5 linked regions of the Coturnix japonica genome follow. The protein of the gene in region 5 interacts with the protein of the main gene of each other region in a pairwise test. Links are inferred from orthologs where the notes say so. Each region holds a gene or a part of one and is shown on either strand. Other genes may lie near its edges.

The links. The genes of interacting proteins can lie anywhere in the genome.
Region 1: the proteins of HSPB1 (region 5) and NVL interact in binary tests that used the Homo sapiens proteins (3 or more experiments, as listed by UniProt). The link is inferred for Coturnix japonica from reciprocal best matches to the Homo sapiens genes HSPB1 and NVL.
Region 2: the proteins of HSPB1 (region 5) and WDR83 interact in binary tests that used the Homo sapiens proteins (3 or more experiments, as listed by UniProt). The link is inferred for Coturnix japonica from reciprocal best matches to the Homo sapiens genes HSPB1 and WDR83.
Region 3: the proteins of HSPB1 (region 5) and FXR1 interact in a two-hybrid assay, tested with the Homo sapiens proteins (2 studies listed by BioGRID and IntAct). The link is inferred for Coturnix japonica from reciprocal best matches to the Homo sapiens genes HSPB1 and FXR1.
Region 4: the proteins of HSPB1 (region 5) and PPM1A interact in a two-hybrid assay, tested with the Homo sapiens proteins (2 studies listed by BioGRID and IntAct). The link is inferred for Coturnix japonica from reciprocal best matches to the Homo sapiens genes HSPB1 and PPM1A.

Annotation. Positions count from the first base shown.
Region 1 is NC_029518.1:15,291,264-15,295,266, reverse strand, and holds the start of NVL (nuclear valosin-containing protein-like), read right to left. Parts: upstream 2,801-4,003; 5' UTR 2,783-2,800; coding exon of another isoform or gene 2,764-2,782; coding exon 2,536-2,763; intron 2,328-2,535; coding exon 2,254-2,327; intron 1,378-2,253; coding exon 1,325-1,377; intron 1,238-1,324; coding exon 1,138-1,237; intron 314-1,137; coding exon 259-313; intron 1-258. Other genes in the region: CNIH4 (protein cornichon homolog 4), read left to right, coding at 2,714-2,782, 3,532-3,600. UniProt on the Homo sapiens protein: Participates in the assembly of the telomerase holoenzyme and effecting of telomerase activity via its interaction with TERT. Involved in both early and late stages of the pre-rRNA processing pathways.
Region 2 is NW_015439889.1:96,215-100,320, reverse strand, and holds WDR83 (WD repeat domain-containing protein 83), read left to right. Parts: upstream 1-1,306; 5' UTR 1,307-1,390; intron 1,391-1,793; coding exon of another isoform or gene 1,794-1,899; intron 1,900-1,996; coding exon of another isoform or gene 1,997-2,031; exon of another isoform or gene 2,032-2,105; intron 2,106-2,174; 5' UTR 2,175-2,176; coding exon 2,177-2,279; intron 2,280-2,424; coding exon 2,425-2,545; intron 2,546-2,642; coding exon 2,643-2,748; intron 2,749-2,834; coding exon 2,835-2,883; intron 2,884-2,973; coding exon 2,974-3,100; intron 3,101-3,182; coding exon 3,183-3,250; intron 3,251-3,318; coding exon 3,319-3,427; intron 3,428-3,501; coding exon 3,502-3,616; intron 3,617-3,718; coding exon 3,719-3,868; 3' UTR 3,869-3,929; downstream 3,930-4,106. Other genes in the region: MAN2B1 (lysosomal alpha-mannosidase), read right to left, coding at 68-160; WDR83OS (protein Asterix), read right to left, coding at 1,049-1,115, 1,209-1,306, 1,794-1,899, 1,997-2,031. UniProt on the Homo sapiens protein: Molecular scaffold protein for various multimeric protein complexes. Acts as a module in the assembly of a multicomponent scaffold for the ERK pathway, linking ERK responses to specific agonists.
Region 3 is NC_029524.1:15,057,229-15,061,335, forward strand, and holds the start of FXR1 (fragile X mental retardation syndrome-related protein 1), read right to left. Parts: upstream 2,801-4,107; 5' UTR 2,721-2,800; coding exon 2,670-2,720; intron 1-2,669. UniProt on the Homo sapiens protein: mRNA-binding protein that acts as a regulator of mRNAs translation and/or stability, and which is required for various processes, such as neurogenesis, muscle development and spermatogenesis.
Region 4 is NC_029520.1:49,583,001-49,587,293, reverse strand, and holds the start of PPM1A (protein phosphatase 1A), read left to right. Parts: upstream 1-1,493; 5' UTR 1,494-1,849; intron 1,850-4,293. UniProt on the Homo sapiens protein: Enzyme with a broad specificity. Negatively regulates TGF-beta signaling through dephosphorylating SMAD2 and SMAD3, resulting in their dissociation from SMAD4, nuclear export of the SMADs and termination of the TGF-beta-mediated signaling.
Region 5 is NC_029534.1:3,162,856-3,166,834, forward strand, and holds HSPB1 (heat shock protein beta-1), read right to left. Parts: upstream 2,497-3,979; 5' UTR 2,317-2,496; coding exon 1,956-2,316; intron 1,024-1,955; coding exon 960-1,023; intron 823-959; coding exon 663-822; 3' UTR 501-662; downstream 1-500. UniProt on the Homo sapiens protein: Small heat shock protein which functions as a molecular chaperone probably maintaining denatured proteins in a folding-competent state. Plays a role in stress resistance and actin organization.

The DNA of each region.
Region 1 (4,003 bases), on a different chromosome or scaffold from region 5:
AACCCATTAGTTTGCTGACAGTTATCATTTCAGTAATAGTCAGCTGTGTCAGTTCCGTCAATCACTTCAATCATTCGATGGCCAACTCTTCTGGGCCTCCATCGTGCTTTCTTAAAGAGTGCTTCCCCACCACAGCTTTTTCCTTTACTGTTGGAAATTAGCCACTTTTAAGCTCTATTTTTAATCTTTCACTGCCACTTTACAAAACACAATCACATGTTACATAAATACAAGCAATCATAATTTAATACAACTTACTAAATCTTCCGGATAATCATCATCCTCTGAATCCTCTGTGGAACTTCCTGTAGTCCTTTACATGGTAAGAAGACAAAAACGTAATGTATCAGAGAAAAACTGAAAAAGAGACACGTGCAAAACAGAACAAATGCAATTTTCAGAACATCGTTCCCTGCAATTAAGAAACACAGGAAAAGAGTGGAAACAAACTGTATTTTAAATTTACTACTGGGAAAAGTCTAAAAACACGTTCTTTCCATTGCTGCAATGAGCTGGATCAACCCAGTATCCTGGCTGAAAGACAGTCCTACAGATAGGCAGGGATGTGGCACCAATGTGATCCAGTTCACCATGAAACCTCACAATCACCAAGGCTAGCACAAGGGAAGCTACTGTAAGTCACTGCTGAATTATATTAGTCCTTCTGATCACAATGTCTTAATTGCTCTTAAGATCCTTGATGTTTATCACAGGTTGGAAAACACAACCTTCCATGAGACCACGCATAAATTTAGGAGTTAGGAATCTTAATGCCAGCCTTAATGCTAGTGGTGGTTTACTCAGAATAGCTTCTCCTGTAGCCTTCTCCCACAGATTTCGATAATATATATAACACTCATTAAAGATTAAGAACAAAACAAAACAAAGGAACTTAACCACATAGAAAACTATCAGGAAGCCTTAAGGATTATCTAGTAATTCAGGGCCATACATTTACTACAGCAGAGAAATTATGATCTACTCTTTAACATATGCATGGAAGACAAGCCTAGAGGAATTTAAGGACTGATCTATAACCTGTGAACTACCAAACCTTAATAATAGAGACAAAAAGCTTTAAAGTGCTAAATATTAAGGGCAGTGCTACAGTTATCAAATGGTAAAAATTCTTCTTACTCATTTCTCTTGTGTTCATGCCTTGCTCTTTTTGCCAAATGTTCAGCTTCTAAAGCTGTTAAATCTTCTTTTTTCTTTTCATTGCTGATTATTCCAAACACTGAAGGAAAAGTTTAAATACGTTAACAGAACAGCCAAAGTATAACCAAAAACTCTGGCACGGTGGACGTAACACTGACAGAACTACCTTTTGCAACTTGTATTCTGAAAGCATTTCGTTTTCTTCGTCCGTATTCAGTACTGGAAAAGAAAAACAACAACACAATGCATGACATCTTGTTGTTTTAAGTCGACAGCCAAACTTTTACACAACTTCTTATTAAGAACCAACCTGAACTCACAATTATTTTTTCTTAAGCCCAGAACAGGACAACCACTGGGATGAAAAGAACACTGGGATATCTTGGTCTCTAAGTGGATCTTTAGTAAAAATTACTTAACCTTCTTTAGCTATAGAGAGACAGAATATACAGGTGAGCACGATGGATTTTATATCACAGTAACACTAGTGGCCCTGGCCCTTGTAGGGCCCTGAAAGTCTCCAGGAATGTGTAACCACCAGCCCTCTGGGCAGGCTGTTCAGTGCCTTACCACCTTCAGTGTTAAAGATCCTCTTTAAGCTTGAAGCCATTTCCCCTTGTTCTATCACCCTTTCTCTAACAAGACATTAAAAAATAGATTGTGCAAACATAAATGAATATATATAATAATATCCTTCTCCACCTCCCTTTAACTCCCACATCCATCCAGGACCTGCTGGAACACAACTTTTCTCCCTACAATGCAAACAGCTGGCAAATAATTTGGTAGGACTGACTGTCCCGCTGTCCTACAGAACTCTCGCTGTCCTACAGCCTGCACCCAAGTGCTATTTTCTCTCATATTCCCAGCTCTGTATGGTGAGGATGCTGTAATGCATCTGCATCAGTAACAGATGAATTACAGAACTAACATCATGAAACAATGGAAGTTAGTTGATATATCAGCAGAGGAAAACAATGAACCTCAACAACTGACAAAGAAAGTGACTTCAGATTAGAATTCTGACAGCACACAAATACAAAACGATACGTTTTACATCCCGAGCGTGGAATACCACCACACCGACCCTCTCACCTGTAGGTTTTCTGCAGATCAGAGGCCAGGATCCCGATATCCACATAATGGCCGCACTTACTGCTCGCGAGGTACTGAAACGAGACACATCGTGAGGCCAGTCAGACCCTGATCACTCACTTCACCACAGCGGCTGCTCCGAATCTGCCTGTTTGAGGCTCAGCACCACCCTAAGGCCAGAAGGGCGGCAGGAAGCCAGAACCGACGGTACAACAAGACAAGGCCTCTCCCCTCAGCCCCCGACCCGCTCCAAGGCGCTGAGGGGAAGGGCCGCGTACGAACCTGCTTCACGCGCTGCTTCAGCCTCAGGTCCACGAAGGAGCCCGGCCGGCTCCGCATCGCCGCCACGCGTGGAACGGCCGCCCTAAAGGCAGCCGGACTCCGGTACCCGGCGAGCCGTGCGGCGGGGCGGGGCCTGCGGGGCCCGGGCGGGGCGTACGGCGGCCGGGAGGTCAGCGGGATGGAGTCGGTGGTCTTCATCTTCTCGCTTATCGACTGCTGCGCGCTCATCTTCCTCTCCGTATACTTCGTATCCTTCTGCGGTGGGGTCGGGGCCGAGCCGCGAGGGTTTGGGGTCGCGGCCGACGGAGGCTGGGCTCTGTGGGGGAGGTTTGAGAGGGGCTGCGGGAGGAGCGGGCCCGGCATTGCGGAGGGTGAGGCCCGGGAATAGGGGGATCCTGAGCGGGGCCATGAGCTCCTGGAACACACACGGGGCACAGTGGGGCTGTGGGGCTGTGGAGGGCGACCTGCAGGACGGGGTGTGTGCCCCGTTCTGCCCCTCGTGCTCCCAGGTCTTAATGCTGAAATGGTCGGGTCTCCCTCCCTGCTCTGCTTGCGGCGTCGAGCTGAACTTTGTCCAGTAGGTACCGGTGGAAAACTGCCATAAAGTCATTTAGGTTGATAGCGAAGCGCGGCCTAACCCTCTGCAGCAAGGAGGGCTGAGCGGGGCTGATGGAAACGTGCCTGGGGCAGATCTGCTGCGGGAGGGTGATGTGCACTGAGGGCACAGCGACCTGCATGGAAACGTGGGATCATAGAATATCCCGAGCTGAAAGGGACTCCTAAGCATTGCCGAGTCCAACACAGCTCCACGCGGCACCACCCAGAATCCCAGCCCTATGTCTGGGAGCAGTGTCCAAACTACCCTTGAGCCCCAGCGTGTTCAGTGTCCACCGCCCTCTGGGGCAGAACCCATTGCTGATATCCAGCTTGAACCCGTCCTTTGAGTGTCTGAGTGTTCTGACTTACGGCACAGTTGTTCCTTATCGCTAACTTCAGATAATTACACTATCAGATTTGGAATGCGACTACATTAACGCGAGATCTTGCTGTTCAAAACTCAATAAAGTAAATGACTGTTCTTTGCATTTTGTGGGGTTTAACAAAACTAGCTGTCATCTCCACATCACAAATTACAAAAGCTGGTGTATACCTGAAGAACCTGGATTGGCAATACTTTTTCAAAGCATTTATCCTTTGTTTCAGTCTGCCTGTCTTTGTCAGGTCCCCATCTGACCCAGTTTACCCTTGTCTGTTTTCATATTGGTCCACGTTCTTATACCACACCTGAAGGTGTTTGTATATCCTGTGTCTGCAGATTTTAGTTATCTGCTTCTTTCATTCCTGCATCAAGTGTTCTCTGCAGTGATTTCATATCAGCACTGCATGCTTTCTTATTTTCTTTAATGTCCGTATAATACAGATGTGATTGAACAGCTGAAGTGTTTCATTCTAGAAATCACCGTGTTAA
Region 2 (4,106 bases), on a different chromosome or scaffold from region 5:
GTGACACCCCATTTCCACCTCAGTGCCCCCCTCCCACCCCGGCGCTCCCCCCCGTCCCCCCCGTTACCTGGTACCCGCAGCCCGCGGCCGCCGCCGCCCCGCACAGCAGCAGCAGCAGCGCGGCCCGGAGCGCCGCCATGTCGTTCGAGCGCGCGGTCATATGACCGTTTGATCACGAGACCAGGGGGGTGGAGGACTTCGCTTCGCCCCGCCCACCCGTCAAGCGGGAGCCAATGGGCGGCCGCCGCGGCACCGCGCCCCGCTCTGATTGGCTGTAGGCGACGTTAGAGTGACACTCGCCGCTTTTCCGTTACCAACGGTTCCCTAAATCCCGCCCCCGGCGGCACGTGATTGGCAGAGCCAGACTGACAGCGCTCTCCTCCAATGGAGCGTCGAGTAGCTTCCAGGTGGGGAACGCGTCCCCTCCCGGTTCACCCGTCCCCGCCATTGGCCCAGACCTGCATCTCCTCCTTTGTGCCCGGTGTCCTCCAGCTCCGCACATTCCCTCTTTTAGGTCCCCTGAGCCCCCAGAACAGCAGCGTTCCCTCTGCACTGGGGCTGGGCCCTGGCAGGTCCGTGAGTCCAGAACAACAGCAGCTCACAGCCACAGCCCCCCTTTAATTGCACAGCCCCCCTTTAATTGCACAGCCCCCCTTTAATTGTACAGCCCCCTTTAATTGTACAGCCCCCCTTATATTTGTACACCCCCCCTTTAATTGTACAGCCCCCCCCTTTAATTGTACAGACCCCCCTTTATTTGCACAGCCCCCCTTTAATTGTACAGCCCCCTTTATTTGTACAGCCCCCTTAATTGTACAGCCCCCTTTATTTGTACAGCCCCTTTAATTTGTACAGCCCCTTTAATTTGAACAGCCCCCCTTTTAATTGCACAGCCCCCTTATTTGTACAGCCCCCCCTTTAATTGTACAGCCCCGTTTAATTGTACAGACCCCCTTTAACGTTGTACCAGCCCCCTGTTATTTGCACAGCCCCCCTTAATTTACAGCCCCCCCTTTAATTGCACAGCCCCAGACCAGGAGCTGTTCTGTCACCACGGCGGGGACATGGGCTGCGGGTTCTGCAGGTACGACATCACCACGGCAGAGATGGAGAGCCTGAGGGGGGAAAGCAGCGTCAGGGGGTAAAAGCAGCGTCAGAGGGTAAAAGCAGCCCCCGTCCCCCATCCCCCCCCCGTCCCCATTGCTCACATGAAGCTGCTCATCATCTGCTTCGTGTCCTCGGAGCTGCGGGAGTTGGCAAAGCTGATGAAGGAGCAGTAGACAGCGATCCACGCGCACCACTTCAGCTGCAGCACCAGGAAGGGACGCTCATGGGAACCCCAACACACCCCAGCTGGTGTCAGGATGCCCCCACACTGACACCAGTCCTGGTGGGTCTTTATGGTGCCCCCTCAGCCTGGTCCTGGTCCCAGCACCGTCCCACTGTGATCTGGGTAACTCCTCCCTGGCCCAGTTTTGGTTCTTATGGGCCGTTCTGTGCAGTGCTGCTCCCAGCAGTTCATTCTGAGTCTAATCCTGGCCCTGCTGGATCCCCCCGGTTCGTCCCGTTACTGTTTTACCCCTCCCAGCTCTCAAGTCTCCCACTGACCCGGTTCTGGTGCCGTCTCTTCCCCGGTCCCGGTGCTGGTTCCGATTCTTCCCACTCTCCTCCCATCTCACCAGCTCCCTCCTTATGAAGCCTCACTCCAGGCTCCGGTAATTCCTTCCCGGTTCCTTCCCGGTTCATTCCCGGTCCATTCCCCCCCCAGCCCGTTCCCGTTCCCGTTCCCGTACCTTGAGCATCAGCCCGCACATGCTGAACACCATCCCCAGCAGGTTCATGTAGTCCGGTGTGGGATCCTCCAGTGCCGGGTTGCTCTCGGTGCTGGGCGGTTTGTACCTGCGGGCGGGGCCGTGAGCGGGGGAGGGGACCCGGTACCCGGTACCCGGAACCGAACCCGGACCCGAACAGCCCCCGGTTCCCCCCCCCCACTCACCGCGTGACCCGCGCGGGCCGCCGTGGATCGACCATTGCGGCTGTTCAGCGCTACGAGTGCGCCGGTAAACTTCCGGTGTTCTCGCCGGAAGTGTCCGGCCTCCACCTTCCGCCTCCTGAGCTGTTCGTTCCGTTCCGTTCCGTTCCGTTCCGTTCCGTTCCGTTCCGTTCCGGTGCAGCCATGGCGTTCCCGCAGCCCCGGCCGGCCCGGCCCGAGCTCCCCCGGAAGCACGTGCGGACCATGGAGTGCGGGCAAGGAGCGGTGCGAGCCGTGCGCTTCAACGGTGAGAGCGGACACGGGGCCGGGAGCGACACGGGGGGGGCAGCTCACATCGCGGCGGGTGGGCGTGGGCGGCCCCCCCCCCTCCCACAGCCCCCCCCCCCACGGCCCCCCCCTCACTCGGCCCTTGTCGGTGTGTCCGCCATCAGCGGACGGCAATTACTGCCTGACGTGCGGCAGCGACAAGACGCTGAAGCTGTGGAACCCGCACAAGGGCACCGCGCTGCGCAGCTACCAGGGACACGGCTACGAGGTGCTGGACGCCGCCGGGTAACGCTGGGGAACGGGGCCCCCCCGCTCTGCACGGAGCCGCACCGGAGCCTGACGGGGTGTGTGGGGGGGTGTGGGGGTGTGTGTGCCTCCCCAGGTCCTTTGATAACAGCCAGATCTGCTCCTGTGGCTCCGATAAGACCGTGGTGCTCTGGGATGTGGCCAGTGGACAAGTGGTTCGCAAGTACCGCGGGCACGCGGGGGTGAGTGTGGAGGGGGGGCAGGAGTGGAGCAGGGGAGCAGCGGGACGGGAACACACAGCACCCCCCACCCTGTGTCCTCCCTGCAGAAAGTCAACTGTGTGCAGTTCAATGAGGAGGCCACCATCATCGTGTCTGGTGAGGAGAGACCACTGCTGTCCCCCCCGTCCCGACCCCCCCCCCACAGGGGTAGTGATCTGACCCCCCCTCACTCACGCACCCCTTCAGGCTCTATCGACTCCACGGTGCGCTGCTGGGACTCCCGCTCACGCCGCCCTGACCCCGTGCAGGTGTTGGATGAGGCCAAGGACGGCATCTCCAGCCTGAAGCTGTCAGCCCACGAAATCCTGACGGGGTGAGGGGGGGCAGAAACCACAGGGATGGGGATGGAACCCCCCCCCCCCGGTGCTATAAATCCTCTCCCATCCAAATCACAGGTCTGTGGATGGCCGCGTGCGACGCTACGACCTGCGTGCGGGGCAGCTCTACTCTGACTACGTGGGGAGTGAGTGATGAGGAGACCGACTGCAGGGAGATGGGGAGGGACACCTAAATTCCCCTCTCTCCTTCCAGGCCCCATCACCTGTGTCTGCTTCAGCAAGGATGGGCAATGCGCGTTGGCTGCCAGCCTGGACTCCACACTGCGCCTGCTAGACAAGGAGACGGGCGAGATGCTGGGCGAGTGAGAGCTGGGGGGCTACAGAAGGGGTGGGGGGTTAAAGAAGGGGTTGGGGTCACTGATGTCCCCCCCCACAGGTACACCGGGCACCGCAGCTCATCGTACCGCCTGGACTGCGTGATGAGTGAGCAGGACACACACGTGGGCAGCGCCTCTGAGGATGGCAACGTTTACTTCTGGGACCTGGTGGAGGTCAGCCCCTCCCACACACACCTCCCCCCCCCCCCCCCCCCCCCCGCCCCCCCTTGCCTCCCATCTCACATATTTTCCTTCTCACCCCCTCCTTCCCAACAGGGCTCCCTGGCACTGACATTGCCCGTGGGGCATGGGGTGGTACAGTCCATTGCCTTCCACCCCACCCTGCCCTGCCTGCTGGCTGCCAACAAAGGCTGTGTGCAGCTGTGGCGTGAGGACGGCTTTGAGGGGGACACCACCACCACGTGACAGCCCGAGGGGGCCCCTTTGTGCCCCCCAGAACCTTCAGAAATAAACCCCACAGTGTGGAGACGCTGCAGCGCTTTATTGATGCCAAAATAAATAGAAGTGCAGGGGTGGAAGGATGGGGTGTGGGGATGGAGGGACAATACCAGGGCCCTGCTCGCCCCAGGGCAGGCTCAGCTCCCCAGAGTGAGGGATCTGACCCCCCCAGCTGTGGGCTCAGCCCCCCCTGGGGCATGTTTCC
Region 3 (4,107 bases), on a different chromosome or scaffold from region 5:
TAGCAGCTGCAATTGTTAACTAAAGTGGTTTGTCACCCCATTCTCCAGCTGTTCCACCACACAAACCTCGTCCTTTCCATGAGAGCACAACTCCTTTAGATTAAAGATGGCACTGATGGGGCTCAGACAACAGATGAGTAACACCAACAGACGCAGTGTGCTTTGCTGCAGGGATTGGCTGAACGTGCTCTGCTGTCTAATGCTGGAGAACTTGGGGTAAGATGCAAAAGAAATGCTGTTCTGTCCTCTGGATTGGAATATTCATTTGAAGCAAAGGGGAAAGAAAACATGCAATCATGTCTGGAGATACACAACAAAAGGTTCAGTTTAAAACATACCATTTCTTTTTAGAACAAAAGAATCTTACTTGATGTCTACCACAACCACGGTTACTTTCCACTAATACATGCATCAAGAAAAAACATTCTTATTCTTCATGTATTTTAATAAAGAGCATAATTTTTCTTATTAGTTGATAGCAATCCCAGTTTTACCCACCATGGTCATACCTGCAGTAACCACTCCAACAGATGCAATCACTACTGTTACTACAGCTGAGTTGCAGACCATATTAACAACCAATTAGAAAAACCATCGTGTAATAGTTTACATAATTCCTTTGGTCTTTATCTCTGCTGGCATAGCAGGATCCCTCTCACGTCATTTACCAGGAGGAATGTTGTGATAATGAATCTAAATTCAGACTGTTCTGAGCGCAAACTTCAAACGTTATCCCCTCTTATAGTCTTACAAATGTCAACACCAATCCTCGGTGAGCACTTTCTACATGAGGCTGACACCCCTTCCTCCTTTTCTTCCCAAGCTTTACACAGCAGTTCCTAGTAGCGCTACTCAGTCCCACAGCACAGGCATAACCTCACCTCTAGGACTCACAAAATGGAGCCAGACGCTCAGATTTCAAAAAAAAAGTGTTTTAAGATCACTTTTCTACTTGCGTCTATTGTGTTTCGGGATGGATTTTGTGCACCACAGTGACTGTTTAGAGCTGGGGCTTCTACAGGCCCAAGCACTCTAACCTGCCCACTCCCCAAGAAGCAAAAGGCTTTCAACATTGGGCCTAATCCCCATTTAGCTGGTCTGAAATAATGACATTTTGAAGCAAAACTTCTGCTCGTTTGCCACCATCCAGAAGGCTGAACACATGATGGGGCTAATCCGAGCCTGACAATTCGCACTGACTCAGGAGACGTCATTATTGCAGAATTTAAATCAGGCTTATTGCAATAAATGCTGTACACACAGCTCCAGGAATTCAGCACACCTCCTAATGCTCCCATTAGTCCCACATTCCCCTGAAGCAGAAGAAAGAACCAGCACATGCTTCATCCTTTGCCCAAGACCATAGGGCAGCAAATGGAAAAGCTAAGAGGGGTGTCTCCAAATTCCATGTTTCCTAATGGGCAGGAAAAATAATCAACGTTGTTTTTAGGCAAGCCGTGTTCAAAATACAGGTGATTTTGATGTGGGTTTCTGCGTGGTTATTTGTAATGCTCCTAAAAACGTATCTGATATGCAACATTTATTATCTATGGATTTTGGCAAAAAGAACGAAGAGAAGCACCTAGCAAGGGCACGGAGCTTATCTCATTACATTCCTTCCTCCTAAGATTATCTCCTATTTGTCTCTTTTAATAGACAGCCAGTTGCAAAACAGCAAAAACCCGAAGCACCCGGCCCCGACTCCTGCATTCAGCTGCTCACAATCCCCTGCCCGCCCCAATCACTCGGATTCCCAACGACTCCCGGCCCGATCCCACAGATGCGAGCAGGAAAATGGGAGGCAGTGAGGGCCGCCCCCCGGCCCCGAGCAGCGCCGCGCTCAGTCCCGCCCCGCGCCGGCGGGTCCCGGTGTGAGCGCAGGGCTGAGCAGCACAATGCTGCGGGAACCAAACAGCGGCTGTGGCCATAAAAAGAGCGGAGCGTTAACGACTGCCCCGGGCTGAGGGCAATGAGTGACGGGCACAGCTGAGGGCACGGAGCACGGATCCCGTACCAACCCGGCATTCCGGGGAGGCTGATGGCGAAGGAAGCCTTCTGATGACATAAATAAACCCGAAATCGTTACAGAATTATTTCAGATATTCTAGAAGACATTATTTCTGGCTCCGTTCCCCCCATTCAGCCCCAAACCCCACCCGCGGTCCCCGCTTCCCCCCCAGCAGCCGCAGAACCCCCACACAACCGCAACCCCCACACAACCCCGCCCCTCCCCGCGGCTCCTTCCCCCTCAGCCGGAAAGGCCCCTCACCGCCTCACAGCACCGCCATACCCCGCCATACACCGCCATACCCCGCCAGTACACGCCATAACCCCGCTCATTACCCCGCCCATACCCCGCCATACCCCGCGATACCCCGCCATACACACGCCAGACACCGCCATACCCTGCCGATACACCGCATACCCCGCCATTACACCGCCCGATACCCCGCCATACCCCGCCATACACCGCCATACCCCGCCATACACCGCCATACACCGCCATACACCGCCATACACCGCCATACACCGCCACACCCCGACACCCCCACGCCGCCCCCCCCTTCCCGGCCCATCTCGGAGGCTCCGTTCCCGGCCGCCCCCCGCTCCCGTCCCCCAGCACAACACGCAGAGCCCCACACGGCTCCAGCCCCGCCTGGCGCCCGTACCTTGTAGAAGGCCCCATTGGAGCCGCGCACTTCCACCGTCAGCTCCTCCATGTTGCGGGCGCAAAGGACGGCGGGACGTGCTTCTAGAAACTGTCACCACGGGGGGGAGCGCTGCCCGGGCTCCCCTCCCCCTCCGCCCGCCCCCCGGGGCCGCTCCCGCTCCGCCCACTGCGCGCCCGGGGCTGCCGGGATCGGCCGGAGCGGGGCGTTCCCTGCGGGGTGCGGGTGGCTCCCGCCTCCCCGGGCCGCAGGTGGCTCCGCAGCCCCGCCCTGGAGCCGCCGCGATGCGCAAATGGCGGCGGTGGCGGTTCGTGCCGCGCGGGTGGCGGTGGGCGCTGCGGGAGTAATGCGGTGTTTGGCTTCGTGTCCTGCTGGGAACGAGCTGCGGCTCATATCGATATACACGTATAAACGGCTGCTGGTGTATCCCTCACCGCAGAATCAGTCCCATATTGAGCCATGAGCTCAGCGCTGTGCGGTAGCTTAGTCATGCAGGGTTGGATAGCAGGCTGTGCCTGCCAAATGCATCTTTTTTTGCAGTGGTTTTAAATATTGATAATGACACCTTCAATCCGCTCGGCTTGGGTGGCCCCGCTAAGCCGCCATCGTGAGCTGCCGTTTACCACCGTGTGGCCACGGAGTGGTTTGGGTTTGGGAGATGGGTGCAGCTAGGGCAGCACGGAGCTGTGGGAAACATGAAGGGAAACGATCCAGAAATTACTGGGGGATAAGAACAACAATAAATGAACCGACAGGCTCTGCTGCTTCCAGAGGACAACACACTTTCTCCACTCTGGCTGCCATCTTTGTTTGGGTATGAGGTAATGCTAAGACAAAATGCAATTCTATTATCTACTCTTTTCCCATCCTGTGTGCCCAGATATTCTCACTATTACATCATAGTTGTTCCACAGGGATGTTGCAGGGTTCCTTTGATTATAAACACTACTTAAATCCTTAGAAATGCCCTGCAGTTTGTGCTGTCACTTGTGCCCGGGCTGTCCCCAGGAGTCCAAACAGGACGCATAGAGAAAACAACCAACCAACAGCACAATGTTTGAGGTGGCTGGGTGTCCGTTTGTGCAGTGCAGAGGACGGTTCTGGTCATTAATGATAAGGAGAACTGGCTGGTGCCAAAGCAATCTGCATCCAGAATTTGCCTGATAACATTTGTTTTTCTGAAAGTACGCACGTGGCAGCAGTGACAGGGGCAGGGTTATTTACAGACTAATACTGAGGCAGATTGCTGCATGAAAATGGAGGTAGATGGGAGTTGTTAAGAGGTTGTGGGCCATGATGGTTTGAAACACAATATCCGGGTGGGAGACAGTGAAGTTCTGAGCCTGAGTTTTAATGTAAATTAGAAGTAACTACTAAATTAAATTAATTATTTACTGAAATATTAAAAGGGAGAATCTTTTATCTCCTCAGTTACAAC
Region 4 (4,293 bases), on a different chromosome or scaffold from region 5:
CATAGTCTTTGTGACATCTTTCAGATACATCCAGTTTGGATATAGGATGGTGTGTGCATTTGATGACTTAAACATCGTGTGACTATTAATCATAGCTACAGCACTGGCATTTTATGGAGTTCCCAATGGCACAGCTGCCTCAGCAGGTACCTACAGACATCATTACACCAGGGTGTTGCAGTAACAGTACTAAGAAGACGCAAAGCCTGCAGCACAGTCATCCTGCTGGCTTTTACATTCTAAAAATAGGCAGAGCCCACTGGAGAAGTGATGAGGTAGGGCCAAGCGTAAGTGTCTGGCAAGTTCAAGATTATTACAAGCTTTACACGAGTATAAAGATTTACGTTAGACAAGCTCTAAATAATTAATTTGAGCCATCAGAAAATTTAAGAATCTTGTCAGGGCTGTCATCTCACCTTCATCTACATCCAGAGAAACTGCAGGAGAGAAAAGTCACCTTCAGCAGGGAAACTGACCAAGCTGCTTTAGACACCATTGTAAGCATGAAAGGAATGATTATCTGTATGTGCCTGATTTCCACCACTGATTCAAGGCAGCCTGGACATTAGTTCACCAATATGTTTGATATTTAGATGATTATTGATCCAAATCCTACTCCAAACAAAACAATTGTATTTCACTGCAACTTAAGGGAGTGAAAGAGTTAATACCAAGTGCTACTGAGTGTTGTTCATGCTCACACTAACATGACTAGAACGAATACTGTAGGACTGAGTCTGAACATACCATTCCACTCCAGTCAGCAATGGGGACTGCAGATTTTGAAGTCATGCTGAAACGCAGTAACTCCATCCTTTGGAGAAGCATTGCAACCATGCAGTTTTGTTACATTAATTTCAGCTTTCCTTGCCCTCTACATCTCTGCTTCTATAGGCCTTGCCTGTACAAGAATCCTCAATTAATCCACCATTAACTGCCTCCTGCTGCTGGCACATGTAGATTAAAGCCGTGCCGATCATTACAGGAATGGCAGCAGAAGCACAACCAGCACTTTTCCAACGGGAAACCTTCACATACAGCTCCGTATTATTGTCAAATACAGAAACCACCTCAACAACCTTCCTGATTCTTTAACTAAGTACCTACTTCAACCATTCCTTTTTGGGGTGAGAGGGCAGAGCACAGCCCCATAGAAAAGGACCATATGAGCCAACAGTGTGTCCCCACAGCACAGAAAACCAACTGTATCCTGGGCTGCATCCACACACCATGACCATCAGGGTGAGGTGTAGGAATGACCCGACCCCCCTCAGCCCCCTGCCCACATCTCTCCCCTCAGCGCTGGGGGCGGCGCTCAGATGACGTCACCTCCCCCGAGCTCCCGCCCGGCGCATGCGCGGTTCGCTCTCTCAGGGTGATGTAATACCTCCCCGCCCCCACCTTCGCAGCCCCAACATCCGGGTACTACGAGCGCGCTCCCGCCTCCCCCTCCCCTCCCCGCCGCTCTTTCGGCGCATGCGCAGAAGCGACGAGGAGGAGGCGGTGGCGGTGGCTGTGCAGTGCGTGCGCGAGCGCGGCGGGGAGACGCTCGTTGGCGCTGCGCGGGTGGGCGCGGAGCTCGGGAGGGGAGCGGGGACAAGGAGGGGGGGGGTCGGCGGCGGCCGAGCGGAGCGGAGCGGGAGGCGAGATGAGCGCTGGGCTCCCCGTGGGCAGCGAGCCGCCCTCGGCAGCCGCCGCCTGTGAATGAACTGAGGCGAGGCCGCCCCCCCCTTCCTCATCCTCCTCCTCCTCCCCTGCTCTCCCCCCCTTCCCCTCCCGACACACCGCCGGGAGCGCGGCCGTGCCTCGCCGCCGCAGCCGGTGCCGTCCCCGCCGCGGCCCGGAGGGGGTAAGTGGTGCGGGGCCGGGCTGAGGGGGGCGGTGAGGCGCCATCCCGGGTGGGGGGGCGACCTGAGGGGCCCTGAGTGCGGCTGGGCGCTGGGCTTGGGGCGCAGGCGGCGGCCTGGCGCAGGTAGCAGCGCGCTGCCCTCTCCTCTCCTCCCCCCTCCCTGGGCCGCTTCAGAGTTCATTTAATAATGGCTATAAACAGCCTCCTCCTCTCCCATCGCCACCCAAATGCTTGAGGCACGGCGCTGGGAGGGGAATAGAGAGAGGGGGGAAAAAAAAAGCACGCATCTATTTATAAAGCACCCCACCCTACAGCGAGGGTCGGAGCATCGGGCGCTCCCCGAGCGCTGCCGTGATGCGGCGGGTGGGTTCCCCTCGGCGGCGCCTTTAGGGCGTTTTAAACTTTGAAGGAGGTTTATTTCACCGCCTTTGGAAGCGACGTCGTGTGAGCAAAGGTTGCGGTGTGGCTGCGGAGATGGAGCCTTCGCAGCTGAAAGTTGTGCGGTGCTACGAAGCTCCGCTCCAGAGCTACATCCAGCCTCCGGCCTTGCCTTGGACTGAGGAAGGCACAGGGCTGGGTCGTCGTTTCAGAACCTATTTCGTAGGCATCTCGTAGATATCTGCGTGTTTGTTTTGCGCACGTTGAAATGTTTCAGTGCCGTGCCACGGGTATGGCAAAATCCTGCTGTTGCAAAACCACCTAGTGCTCGTGAGGAACTTAGTTTTGCGCCGTACCTTTTGTCAGATGAGGAAATGGTGGTTGTGTGGTCACCATAAGGCTGCGTGTGTCACGCTGAAGAATTATTTTCCTCCTTTGAAGCAGATGGCAGTCTTAAATGAAATCCTGTGAGCAACAGGCTTTAGCTCTGTCCTCTTTGGTGGTAGGCGATTTTCCATAGATCATGATGGATAATGACAGAGTAAGTAGAATCATCTTGTGAAGCAGAGAAGTTCTAACCCTTGTGATTCTAGGAACTTACTTTGCAGATAGGATCAGTGTGACCTTTTGCTTATTCTCTACACGTACTGCTTCAGTGCCCAGGTGGCTGCTGAAGGATTCATGAAGCCCCCCATGAAATTAAAGGTAACTGCTGTGCTCACGACCCTGTGTGAATTGCCAAATTAACAGGCATTAATTGTGCAAGTTCTACCCACGTTTCTTCTCCGACAGCTTTTCTTTTGATACTATTCCTAGGTTTTCTATGAATAAGATCAGAGACAGGGAAGGGGTGGAGGAAAACATGGGTCAAGGAAGTTGTACTCCTTCCCTGTGTGATCAAAGGAGAGATAGTGAAGAAGAATAGCTGTGCTAGGTGTACCAGCCATCTCTCACCAGGGCAGGGAGAGCTGCTCTCAGACCTTTTCCCTCCAGGCCTGTCTTCCTGGGCGTGCGTTTTGTACATGGGGCTGCTCTAAAAGTAAAAGTCTTGCTGATGCATTATGCCAATTACTAATTTCCTCACAGTCACATTTATCTGATGAAACCCTCTGCTAACTGTAGTTTGTACTGGAGACATCTGGTCTGTGCTCTCGCTGTCTTCAGATGGAAGGGTGTTTTGCTAGAGGGTAGGCACAGCTTAGCTCTGGCCAATACGTTTAGTCCTTTAGTTGTCTTCTGGTAAACGTTTCTCATTGAGGTGCAGTAGAAAACTCTACCTGTTTTCCAAGTGCTTCCTTAGCTGTCTGGAATTAAGCTTGAGAGACTTTGGAAACAAGGAGGAGAGATGGAAGTGCCAAAGGAATGGCAAAGCTTGCAGGTCTAAACAAGCCGAGCTCACTTGGTGCAATTTGAATTAAAGCAGAAGACAAAAAAAGCCTTTTCTATAAAACCAAGCTGGTTGCTTCTTATCTGGAGCGCGTTTTATATGGTGAAGTTGAGTCACTCGTGCTGAGAGAGCGTTTGAAGAACTGTCGTTAAAAAGCTTAGGTACTTTGGCACAGTGTGATTTGCAAACTTATGTAACTGGTATGGTTTTGAATGCAGCTGTCAATATGAGATCTGATTGCACTTGTCCCTTTAGAGTGGAACTAGGAATTTAAAGGAACTACTTTCACTTAATGACCTAAATGTAGGTAATTTAAGAATAGCACATTTCATACTAAAATATCGACTTTGATATTGGTTTTGTCATTACATGCTCTGATGCTCATGTAGAAACATTAGCCAGTGCTAATGTCAAAGTGCATTTACATAATTACAAGTTATTTACAAACAAGCAAATTTTGGAATGGGAAGTTCTGCAAAATAACTAGATTTGTTTTGTCTCTGCAGACCTGCAACTCATTTTAATAAGGCTTGAATAATATTGTTTGAAGTCAAGACAACAGCAGCTTAGCAGAGCTACACCTGAGCTATGCAACGTGCCTTGCTGCTATTGCATACTGTGCTATTGCGACTGTTGCTCCTCCTTTCTCTTAAACCATGTCTCACTCCTTTCCTCGATC
Region 5 (3,979 bases):
CAGAGCTTTGGAGAGGAGGAATGATGAGATATTGAGACTGAAAGTGACGAGATCTGGGAGTTCAGGGACCTGGGATGGAGGAGAAATGGGATGCTGAGATCTGGGAGATGGGAGATCTGGAAATCTGGGGACTCTGGATCCTGGGAGCATGTTGGAGATCCAGTATGTTGTGACCTCAAATGGAGTAATGTAGAGTAGTGTAATGTTGAGACCCAGGACCCTGGAGACCCAAAATGTCAGATTCTCAGGACATGAAAGACCAGGACATTGACCTTGGGATGCTGGAGACCCACAGTGCTGACACCCAGGGTGTTAAAGCAGGGACATGGCCCTGTGTGCAACCAGCAGTTGGACTCAGTGGGTTTTATGGGTCCCTTCCAACACAGGATAACCCACGATTCTATAATCCTATGACTTTAGAGATCTGGCATGTCCAGATGTGGGGTGTGGGATGTGAAACTTGGCATATAGGCTGTAGGATGTGGCCAGCAGACACGGGGCAGGTTTCTTCTATCACTTTTATTCCCATCAATTTTCTCTTTTCCTCCAAGTTTATTCAAGGCACTGGGTGATGGGTGAGTACCAAGTAAAAAATACAAAGGGGGTGGGAGCTGGGGGCAGGCGTGCGGGGTGTGTGTCGGGGACAGCAGCGGGGCCTCCTCCTACTTCTTGGCTGGTTCTTCCTTCTTGGCCTCGACGGTGACAGGGATGGTGATCTCGGATGACTGGATGGCCGGCTTGGGCAGCGGGGCCTCCACTGTCAGCATCCCATCAGGGGACAGTGAGGACCGCACGGCTGTGGCTTCCACACCAGGAGGGAGACTGCGGGGAGAGGGGAGAGGTCAGAAAATCCCCTAATTTCTATGCGTCCCCCATTGGGGCCAATGACAACCCCAGTGTGTGTGTGAGATGGGGATGGGCAGGTTGGATGTCCCCACTCTCCCCACCCTGGTACTTACGTGTATTTGCGGGTGAAGCACCTGGAGATGAAGCCGTGCTCATCCTGTTTCTCCTCGTGCTTGCCTGGAAAGAGTAAAGCACAAAAGGTTAAACCCATTGGGTCTCCGCACTTGGGGTTTGCCTTTCCCTGCCCCATCAGCACTGGGTTGAGGGCAGTCCTGCTTGCCCTACATGCAGCCTTGAATGATGAGAGACACCTGGATCCCTACAGGAACACCCCTTAAATTTAAGGGTAGGAAACAGACGGTGATGGTGGACCCAACCCATCTCCAACGCCTTTGTTTCAGCTCCCCGTTGGGCAGGGCACACTGCTGGCCCTGGGCCATGGGGTCTGTGTTTCCTCACAGCATCCCTTGCTGAGCCCCCTCCCTGGCACACAGGGATGCTCAGGGTGCTGTGGGGCCTGGCTCTGCCCCATGGCGCTGACACCTCTGTCCCTATGGGGCACGCATCACATTCCTACCGTGGGCTGCATACAATAGCGGTGTGGGGCTGGGGACTGCAGCCAGCACACTGTGTACATCATGAGTCATCCCTGGAATGCACTTGTAACCCTATTCCTTCTCTGTTTGCTTATCATTTGTTATATCTTTTTTTCCCCCCCCTTTTCTCTCTTCCTTTTCCCCTTACCTTTCCTTTCCCTTTTTCCCCCTTTTCCTCTCCTCTCTTTCCCTTTCCCTTTTCCTTTCCTCTCCCATTCTTTTTCCTTTCCCTTCCTTCCCTATTTCCCTTTTTCCTTTCCCTTTCCCCTTTCTCCTCCCATTTCCTTCCTTTTCTTTCCCTTTTCTTTTCCATCCCTATTTCCCTTTTTCCTTTTCCTTCTTCCCCTTCTCCCTTTTCCCTTTCACCTTTCCCTCACTCTTTCTTTCTTTCTCCTTCCCTTTCCCACCATGCTCCATTTTCTCCTCATTCCCCCACCACAAATACATCCCCTCAACCACCCCACATCCCCCACACCCTCCCCATACCCCCATCACCCCATCTCTCAGACCCACCGGTGATCTCCACGATGTTATCCTTGGTCTTCACCACCAGCTCTTCGGGTGCAAAGTGGTTGACATCCAGGGTGACCTTCCAGCTGTCGGCGCTCTGCCTGATCTCGGAGATGCCGCTGCTCAGCTGCCGGCTCAATGCGCGGCCATAGGGCGACCCAGGGGCTGGCAGCAAGGCGCTCTCACTGGGCAGCAGACGGAAGTATCCAGGCCATGCGCTGCCGCTGGGCCACTTGTACCAGTCCTCGGGGATGTGGGGCATCCCAAAGGACTGGTCGAAGAGGCGGCTGCCATGGTACCAGTCGCGGAAGGGCTCCCAGCTGGGGCTGCTGAGGAAGGTGAAGGGCACGCGGCGCTCGGCCATGGTGTGCGGGGTTGATGGTGTGGAGCGGCTGTAGGGCCTTATGAACCCGTCCCCACGGTTATTTTTAGCCTTCAGGCGCAGCTGGCTATTAATGGAAATTGCAGCGGGGCCCGGGAAGGGACCAGAAGCTTTTCTCCAGCCCCGCGCAGCCGCAAGCCCTGCTGCCCGCCCTGCGCTGCTCCTTGGCGCTGATGGATGGGAGCTGGATGGATCCCAGCCTGCCCTCCCCTTCCCGTCAACAGCCCTCGGGATGCGCAGTGCTGGGGGGGATGAGTCAGAGCAGGAGCCCGAGCTCAGCCCTGCGCCCGCTGCGTCACTGCCAGGCCAGAAGCTTCTGGAGCCCACCAGAAATGTGGCACCCCAGGGTGAGGGGTCCTAGAGCTGGGTTTGTAGGGTTGATGGAGGATAGAGGGGCTGATAGGGGCTATAGGGCTTGGTGGGGGGGTCAGCAAGGCCCAGCGTTGCTGATGGAGGTCAGGAGGACTGATGGAGGCTGTAGGGCTTGATGGGGGTCAGTGAGGGATTACATGAATGGATGTGGACTGCTGGGGTTTAGTAGAGACCAGTAGGGATTGATGGTGCTGTGGGTGGCTGATGGGGGCAGTGGGGACTGATAGGGCTGATGCTGGTTGTTGGGACTGTTCAGGGCTGAGCTCTGGCCTTGGGCTGACTGTCCCTTCCTGCCCAGCTCCTGCAGCGTGCAGGCTTTGCTTTTAAGAGGCAGCACAGCCAGGGGATGGATGTATCTGAGCCCTGATGTGCTCAGTGCAGGGATGTGAGAGCCCTCCCTGTGGGGCGCTTGGCACAGACAGGGATACAGGAAGGATGGGAGAAGTATCTTTCATCAGGGGGAGCTCAGGGTGTCCCCCCAGCCCCAGCAGCACCTGCTGAACCCTTTGCTGGGGGCTGGGGTGGGGGGGAGCCCCATGTTGTCTGGGAAACAGGATGGAAAGGGATCAAAGCAGCCGAGCTGCAGAGCGGGGCTGCATCCTGCCAGGGGCTGGGGTGGGAGGGAGGGATGCAAAGAAACCGCTCCATGCCCCGCAGCATCATTTACAATATATACTGTATATTTTATTATAATTGAACCAGCTCACTGAATCTACAGCTGTACTCACAATCCAGAAAAAGGGAGCGCGCGAGAGAGAGGAAAATACTGAAGTATTTCTACAGAGTATTTTGTTCCAGTTGGCTCCCTCCGCGGCAGGAGACAGAGACTGTAAAAGAGGAAGACTGGAAATTTTCCCTGATGTGCTGTCCTGTCCGGGGCTCTGTCACTGTGGGAGCTGTGGCCGTGGGATGGGGATGGGGACAGGTTTGGGATGGGGGGGATTGGAATGGGGATGGAGATTGGAGTGGAGTCAGGGATTGGGATTGGGATTGGGATTGGGATTGGGATTGGGATAGGGATTGGGATTGGGATTAGGATTGGGATTGGATTGGGATTGGGATTAGGATTGGGATGGGGACTGCCCTGGAGGATGCACTGAGCATCCCCGCGCAGGGGGAGGGCAATGCAGGGTGCGTGAAGTGCTTGGCCGTGGTCAGAGCCCCACAACCCACCAGCACTAAAGGGGCATTACTGGAGTCAAAGGGATGCCCCAGTTCTGCAGTGCCCTCAGGGCAGGGACAAAGCCCTGATCCCATTGCGGCGCTGTGGGTT